Linked DNA regions of Oryzias latipes. Each later gene encodes a partner of the first gene's protein in a complex. Links are inferred from orthologs where the notes say so. Each region holds a gene or a part of one and is shown on either strand. Other genes may lie near its edges.

The links.
Region 2: the proteins of tubgcp3 (region 1) and mzt1 are in contact, whole or in part, in a cryo-EM structure (PDB 7QJD), measured with the Homo sapiens proteins. The link is inferred for Oryzias latipes from reciprocal best matches to the Homo sapiens genes TUBGCP3 and MZT1. Residues at the interface, in NP_006313.1 of Homo sapiens: Lys7, Pro9, Leu12, Leu13, Asn15, Leu16, Cys17, Arg19, Ile20, Leu21, Arg23, Val28, Gln31, Tyr34, Ala35, Val38, Ile39, Asn42, Phe43, Ala44, Pro45, Thr46, Ile58, Leu62, Arg67, Asp70, Phe74, Leu77, Lys80, Leu81; in NP_001065243.1 of Homo sapiens: Asn17, Ala20, Val21, Glu23, Thr24, Val27, Leu28, Glu30, Ile31, Ser32, Arg33, Ile34, Leu35, Asn36, Thr37, Leu39, Asp40, Glu42, Thr43, Ile46, Cys47, Val48, Arg49, Leu50, Cys51, Glu52, Gln53, Gly54, Ile55, Asn56.

What each region holds. Positions count from the first base shown.
Region 1 is NC_019860.2:22,840,259-22,843,827, forward strand, and holds part of tubgcp3 (gamma-tubulin complex component 3), read right to left. Parts: coding exon 3,425-3,569; intron 2,439-3,424; coding exon 2,263-2,438; intron 1,379-2,262; coding exon 1,266-1,378; intron 318-1,265; coding exon 192-317; intron 106-191; coding exon 1-105. UniProt on the Homo sapiens protein: Component of the gamma-tubulin ring complex (gTuRC) which mediates microtubule nucleation.
Region 2 is NC_019873.2:18,606,328-18,610,640, forward strand, and holds mzt1 (mitotic-spindle organizing protein 1), read right to left. Parts: upstream 2,868-4,313; 5' UTR 2,567-2,867; coding exon 2,515-2,566; intron 2,410-2,514; coding exon 2,264-2,409; intron 780-2,263; coding exon 756-779; 3' UTR 296-755; downstream 1-295. Other genes in the region: bora (protein aurora borealis), read left to right, coding at 3,204-3,353, 3,514-3,620, 4,151-4,196, 4,302-4,313. UniProt on the Homo sapiens protein: Required for the recruitment and the assembly of the gamma-tubulin ring complex (gTuRC) at the centrosome.

The DNA of each region.
Region 1 (3,569 bases):
GACTTGAGGCGCCTCCTCCTCCCGTAGCGGGTTTACCTGTGAGTGGAGGACCGAGAGGAGCCGGTAGTACTCCTTCAGCTCCTGATGGAGCGCGGCACAGAAGCTCTGAGGCAGACGGAGAGAGGCAGACGGGCGTTAAGGGCGGATACATCCAAGAACAAGGACCACTGATGGAGCCGAAGCACACGCACCTGCCCCACCAACCCGAAGGCCCGGTCCAGGCTCCTGGCGTCCGTGTACTTCCGCACTTTGTTGTGGAGCCAGCCCAGTTCGGCCAGTCTGCTGCTGGTGTCCCTCAGGGATTTGCATAGCACCACCTAGTGAGGAAACGTCAGCTCGAGTCGAGGAGAGTCGTAACAAATACTCTCAAAACGACTTTATGACGTCAACGAGCTGGACTCAATACTAACAGAAATAACAATAATTACATTTATGATACTTTTTTTCATGTCGTGCGTGAGTTGTTTATATTTCCCGAGGTGATGGGATTTTCTGAGACCAACGACTCACAAGCTTTTAGGAGCTTTTAAAATCCAGGAATCAAGCTTGATCTGAGCAGAAGGAAGGACTTTTTTTGCTCAGATCCCGTTTGACCCCGCCCCGTTTTGGGGATGCCTCATCCTCCTAGCCTCTGAATCGACTGTATGGGCTTAGAGAAGTGTCCAAATGAATCGTACGCTCATAAAATAAAAGTTGTTTACAGAAAAGGAAAGAAAAAAAGAACGATTTTTTATTGGGATTAATCTGTTTTGAATATTGTTTTGGATATATTAACCACCTTTGATTACTGTCAAAAACAGTAATTGGTAGTATTTTCATTTTCTAGCATTCCTTTTACTATTAATGGTTTGTTACAGGGCTTATATCACACACTATAAAAGTTTTACATTTTGAGTGATAGATCAAATAAGGCACTAAAGGTTGCGTTTGGTTTGCTCAAGAGTGCAAAGCTCCGTCTCTGAAGTGTCATCAAGATGACGATTGTTTTTTTTTTTTACCTTCTGAAGGAAAAGGTGCATTAAATTTTCATGTCCTGAAGGACAGCTTTTGTGTGAAGACTAAAAAAAACAACTAAAAACATCCCATTATCTCTATTCCTGCCTCGTTTATCTTGGTCTGGTGGAGCACTGAGTCTATGTTTAGGAGAAAATACTCCTCATTGATGAAACCACAAAGGCAAAAAACGGCATCTTTTATCCAGAGAGCTTCACATCGATCCGGTAAAGTGCAGCCCCCACCCCTCTGCTGGCTGCGGCCGTCAGTACCTTGCTGTCGATTTTGTAGCAGTTCTCCTGGACGTTCATCTTGATGAACTTCCCGTCGATTCCCTGGAAGACGTACAGGATGTCCCGCACCAGCGCAGCCTCGTGGACCTCACCTGGTGGACAGGTCACTCAATCATCATCTCCAAAAAAACCCACCTTAGAAATGGGGTTTACTTTGTAAAGCTTAATAAATATTCAAATTAAACTTTTTCCAAACATTTTTTTTTTTAGGTTTCCTTGAAAAGCTGCAAGTGATGAATTTTAAAGAAGAAGAAGAAAAATCCTCTGACTTTTATTAATTTTACCTGGAAAATTATCCTTTCTGTTCATTAAAACAGGAAGTGTTGGGTTGTTGTGCTTTTATTGTGAAAGCTGGACGTCTAAAGAAGAGGATGAGCTTTTATTTTATTTATAGATTTATTCTAAAAGTTCACATTTGATGGATTAACGATAGAAACAGGATAAAAATCATGATTTGTATTAGAGAACATAAAAAATAAACACAAGTTTAAATGAAACAAAGGACATTTTTAACAGTTTGTTTGCTTTAAAATATATTTAGCAGAAAATGTCTTCATTTTATTCATTTGAGCTTATGTTTCCTAATTTAGAAAGTTACATGTTTCTACACTGCATTATTTATTTCTGTAAATAAGTGGCTTTAATGTAAACATTTCTGTATCTATTTATAAATACAATAAAAGATTTTATTAACACATTTTACTAGAATGTTTTTCAATATTTGCATTCTCTGACCTCCATGAAATTTATTATTATTTTTTTTTACAATTTAAAGCCCATGAATCAATTTTTATTGATTGTTTCTAATATTTCTGTAGCAGAAATTATTTTTCTTAGAGTTTTTTTTATTAAAATAGTTAAACATTTTGTGGGAAATGTATTATTTTTTCATTAAAGTCCCTAATAAATGATTAAATCTGAAAATCGTGGCTTCATGAATCCGATTTACACTGCGGAGCGTGTCCGCATCGCTCACCAGTCAGATCGGCGTCTTGGCGAGGACGGATCACTCTGGCCGTCGGCACCGGAGGTCCGAGGGGAAGTCGGGCGCTGGGCGGGGCCAATGCAGAAGGGGAGGAGCTTATGGGAAGAGCCCAGGCTAACCGTGAGCCCAGAGTTGGAGCAGCTCCAGCGGCAGACGGAGGCACCTGACTGAAACATAGAAACAAAAAAACCAACACATCACTTGAAGGAAGTGCGCTGCAGACACACAACACAATAAGACAACCCGATGAAAACGACATCCAAATGTAGCATTTCTTTATTCAAAGTCACTGAACGGGGCTGTCAGACAGAAAAATATCCTCGGATGAAACCTGAAAGAGCAGGAAAAAGAACAAATAAAAATAATAAAAAAGGCTCTTTTAGAGTTTCAGAAAAAGTTTAACAGAAAAAAAAATCCAAATTAAAATATTTCTTAACCTAAACCTGAAAAAATGCGAGAAAAGAAACTCTTGGACTAAAAGAGCTTCTAAAACCGCAGCTTTTTTGCAAAAAGAAAAAAAAAAAAGACCAAAACTGGAAAAACTTCAATAAAACTACAGTACTACTAATTTATTTGATTTCCTTCTTTTTTAACTTCTTCTTCTCCTGTTTTATTTACTTCATTTCATCTTCACTCATCTTTCTGGAACCAGAAAAGTCTGGTTCATGTTTGTCACGGATGTTATCAAATTGATGGTTTCAACTGTAAACTAACTTCTTATTCTGGTTTTATTCAGTTTGCATCCAGAAAACTGACATGAAAAACTGCATTAGTGCAAATCAACCAGCTTTCTGCACTTTGTGCATATGTAGCTATAAAAACTCAGAAACAGCCTTAAATGGCGGCTAAAACAGCCTTTTTACGGGTCGGTTCATCTGCTGCTGCTAGCTTCATCGCTGTGGGTTTTATTAGACCACAGACTAACGAGTTTGTTCTCCTAAAAGCCACGGCCACGCCACGCAGTAAGTAAGTAAATCTTTATTTATATAGCCCTTTTCTCAGATTCACAAAGTGCTTCACAACTTAAAACAATAGAAATCACAAAAAAAGCAGCGGAAAAGTGAGAGTCGTCCTTGCAAAGTACAATGTTATTTTCTACCGCTTTGTGCGCCTCCTTTCTGCCCCCTCTGTGTGAACGGACCAGAGAGCTTACCCCCCCAGCAGCGACTGTGGCGTGGGGCCGTTCAGCGTGTACACCCCCAAGCTGGAAATCCCGCTGGTCCCGACGCTCCCCACCAGGGCGGCGGTCCGTTCCCCGTGACCCAGCGACAGGCTCTGGGGCCGAGTGCAGTAAAACG
Region 2 (4,313 bases), on another chromosome or scaffold:
CAGCCACTCCTCCATTGTTTCTGTATTTATGCATTGTTCTTCAAGTCTGTTCTCCCTTTCACCTGGTCTGACAGGAAAGATTGTTTCCGTTGTAAAATCCAACCAAATAAGGTTATTATGTTATACTGCTGACCCAAAATTAGACCATGACACGTACAAAAAAGAAACTAAAGCCAAATATTATTTTTTTAAATGTATATTACAGTTTTTTTTAATCAGAAATAATATAAAGTGGTATTTGTTTTAAAATCCCAACAATTAAATAAATACTGAGAACAAAGACTAGAACTCCCCCTTGTGGTCACTGATGGTAACATTTTATTTCCCACAATTCCATTGAAAACTTACAGGACCTTCAGAAATAGATTTGTGCCAATAAATGACCAAGAAAAAAAATGATAGTGCAATAATATACATTGAAAAAAAAAATCAATAAAGATTTTAACATATAATGTCCAACATGTTTCTGATATAAAACATTCTGACAGTCAAACCCAACATCCATGCTGCTTAGAGAAAAAACAAAACAAAAGAAGGCTTAAACTTGACAGTGCTGCTCAGATCTGTGTCTTGTGTGTTTGAAAAACAACAAATGTAAGTCATTTTCTTTTAAACAACAACAAACAAATGAAAAAAGTAGAAAACATTTGAGTCACTGTCAAAATGATTGGGATTGAGGCGGGAAAGCTGGTAAAGATCCAGGAACAGGGGATGATCTTATTAAAGTCCTGCACAGATGGGCTCCGATTCCATCTTCAGGTTGTGCAATTCTCAGAAACCTGAAAATAAAAAGTAATAAACCATCATGATTTATTGTTTGAAATGGTGTGGCTGTGGCTCAGGTGGGACACAAGGCAGTCTATTAATCACACAGAAAACAGTTTGATCCCAGTCCCTCTAGATGTCGGTGTCTTGTTGGGCTTGACGTTTACGCACGAGGTACTCCAGATGAAAAGTCTAACAGCTTTCATTTCGGCATGTGGATCATTGGGTTTTGCAGCAAGTGTGTATGTGAATGGGAAAGAAGCTGTAAAGCACTTTGCAAAACCAGACAAAGCCAGTTCTGTAAAAGTGCAAATTGAATGCTGGACTTATGTTAAGTATATTTGAGCTTTTCTGAAGCTCAGAGAAAATTTAATTAATTACATTTTCTTTAAAAAATAAACTCATGTCTATATTTCTATTTACAAACCATAAGGATCTGTTTTCAGGACGTTTAGTAACAGAATTAATTCATCTGTATGCGCCAAATGTTTTTCAGTCCTCGGCTTTTCTCATTCATAGATTTAGTTGCAGGTTTAGCCATTTTTACATAAAAAAAGCAAGATATTATAAATTAAAATATTTGAGTTTACACTTTAAAGCTTAGAGTATCGTTGGGTTGATGTGGCAAGGATGATAAAATATTTAATAAATTTAAATAGTAGAAAATATTCTAAAGAGAAAAAAAAATCAAGTTTAAGGATTCACTAGTATGTGGGCATCAATCAAACAACTTGTGTTAAATAAAAGTCAAAATACTGAAATACTTTAATACCACAGCTCTATTTTCTAATGATGGGACGAGCGACACCTTGTTTACACTCTCCCGCTAACTGAGTCCCTGACAACCCCAAGCTCACACTAGCGGTGCAACAAATATAGTGAACAATATTTGAGCCATCCACCTGAACAGCTTTGATCCAGATTCCAGCTCAGACGAGGAAAACAAAAATGTACATAAATTTATTCATCTGCCAGTGGAGGCATCAGACTAGAGCAGAGCAGGGAGTTTGGCCTAATGGCTGTTGTTTCTATGTCACAACTGCAAGTTTTTCAAACTGCATTATTTGACTTCTCCGGTTTCTTAATTAAGAAATAATCAAAAATGCTGTTTTAATGTTAATTTTCTATTATATGTAATCAATCATAAAAAAGTGCTACAAGAACATGTTAAAAACACCAAAAATGCCGTTCTTATTTTATTTACCTGCAATGATTTCAGAATTACTGCAGGGGTCACTAGAGAGGGAGCAACACTATGTCAGAGTCAACAGTTTGGGAGATGTGTCAAACTCATTAAAGCATCATCAACCCATCACTACTATTTACACTGATATGATGTTTATCATTACAGACTTTAATGTAAAAATAAAAAAACAATGACACTCAAGCTTAACAAATGGTTTCCAAATGGTTATAGAACTCGCGATAACACTAAAAGAAGAAAAAAACACGGACATAAGTTTTGGTCTGTAATGAGATGTGGTAGTTTCTCTTCTACCTTCAGAGACTCTGAAGCTTTTCGGAGCTCCTTGATGACAGCAGACAGAGCTTCAGGGTTGATGCCTTGCTCACACAGCCTCACACAAATGGACAAGGACTCCATATCCAAACCAGTGTTTAGCAGTCTTGAAATCTCTAGCAGAACTGTTCAGGAAAAGCGAAAAGTTTAAAATTAATAGAATGATTTAATGATAATCTTGAAATTCTTATTAAATATGCTAATATGTGCACACAAGTTAAAATATTTACCGTCCATAGTCTCCCGGACTGCGTTCAGGTTAGCATTAGCTGCACTTGCCATTACGATGACGCTAGTTAGCTAGCTAGAACTTGCTAGCAGATACACAACAGCTTATATGTTACCCTGATAAAACGTTGATGAAAACAATTCAATTAAACAACACGGCCGCGTTTAAAATATCTCATATTTGCTTTACTCGGATTCTGACATACGATAAAATGCCGCATTAGCATTTAGCTTGCATCAAAGTTGATGCACCGTCCGCAAACTAGCAGCGGAAATGACGACACAGATGTCGCTATTGGTCCTCAACAACTTTCTGTAACGATTCTATTGGTTGGCTGGCTCCGTGGACGAAATTGAAATAAACGTTTGAATTGTTCTCTTCCTAATACCACTGTGGAGTCGACAGGGGAAGACTTTCTCTTGATTTAGTCGCTTTACAGTCCAAGTCAGATAAAACATGTAAGTACCAGGGGCGGAAAACAATTACATAGTCAGTGTCGGTAAGGATTAAATTATGGGTGTTATGTTGTTTTTGAACTGATTTTAAAACTGTTGTTTTCCTTGCAAGCTAACATCACAGCTAGCTAACGGATCGAGTAAAAAAAATACATGTTGGTTTACACTTAAAATGTTTTTAAGTGTACTTTGTAATACATTTTCTTTATAACTTGAATTTGAATTTTCAGCCAGGATGGGGGACCGTATCGAGCTAGAGATAACTCCAGAGACTCCGGGCAGGCCTTCCATAAGAAACCCCTTTGAGAGTCCAAATGATTACCACCATCTCCGGGAACCCTTGGTTCCAAGCCCATCTGTTTTTAAATCCAAGTCCTGTAAAGCTGTAAGTTTAATTTCTTACCCACAACTTATACTAAAATTGAATATTATTTACACAGTCAAGCTGAAACCGGTTTTTGCAAGTGTGTTTTGCAATTTTTACTTCGAGAAATGTGTCTTAAGGCTGCTGTGTAGTTTTGTCTCATATCTTGTCTTTTCTGTAGACCCCTCCAAGATTTAACTGGTCTATTGATGAAATGGCCAGCCTTCTCCCAGTGCACATAGACCCAGAAGAAATCCAGCGACAGTCTTTTTACCTCAGCCAGACAAGGTGTGTCCTGAATCCCTTATTTTGTTAACAGTGGCAAATCTTTGATTGCATTCCAGTCTTAAATATTTGGCAAATTACAAACTGTAATTAAACTAAGGCTGCACGATATCAGGAAAACTCGCGATATTGGTGATCAATATTGCGATGACGATGTGACTTACGATACATGAACCCAAAGTAAAACATGAAACAACTAATACATCTTTTTCATTTCACTGCAACAGTTTTATCAAAATAAAAGTCAGTATAACTTGATTTATACTCCAAATGATCTTTTACCTGATAGGAGGGAAGCATCTAACATAAAAGGGCTCCATCCAATTAGTCAAAAGCTTAACAGGCTATTTTGAATTTGAAACACTTCAAGCTGCCATAAGATTGTTTAGGCATGTGTGTAAACATTTATGGTATGATTTATTGCACTGTCTTCTGCGATACGCATACTGCACAGGCTGATAACAAGATGGCGATAGCTCTGTGATTTATTGTGCAGATCTAAATACCTAAATTATTTTCTTATTATATTTCAGGACCGATTCTGATGTTGAAGAAAAATTTCAGAGTGCTATTGAGCAGGTTTTGGACTTTAAAAGCAATCTTTTTTTAAAATTGCAATAATTCAGTAGAAGTCTTGTTGACAATTTACTGATTTACTCATGTCTTTTGTCTTGCTGAATAAAGTTTTTTACCAAA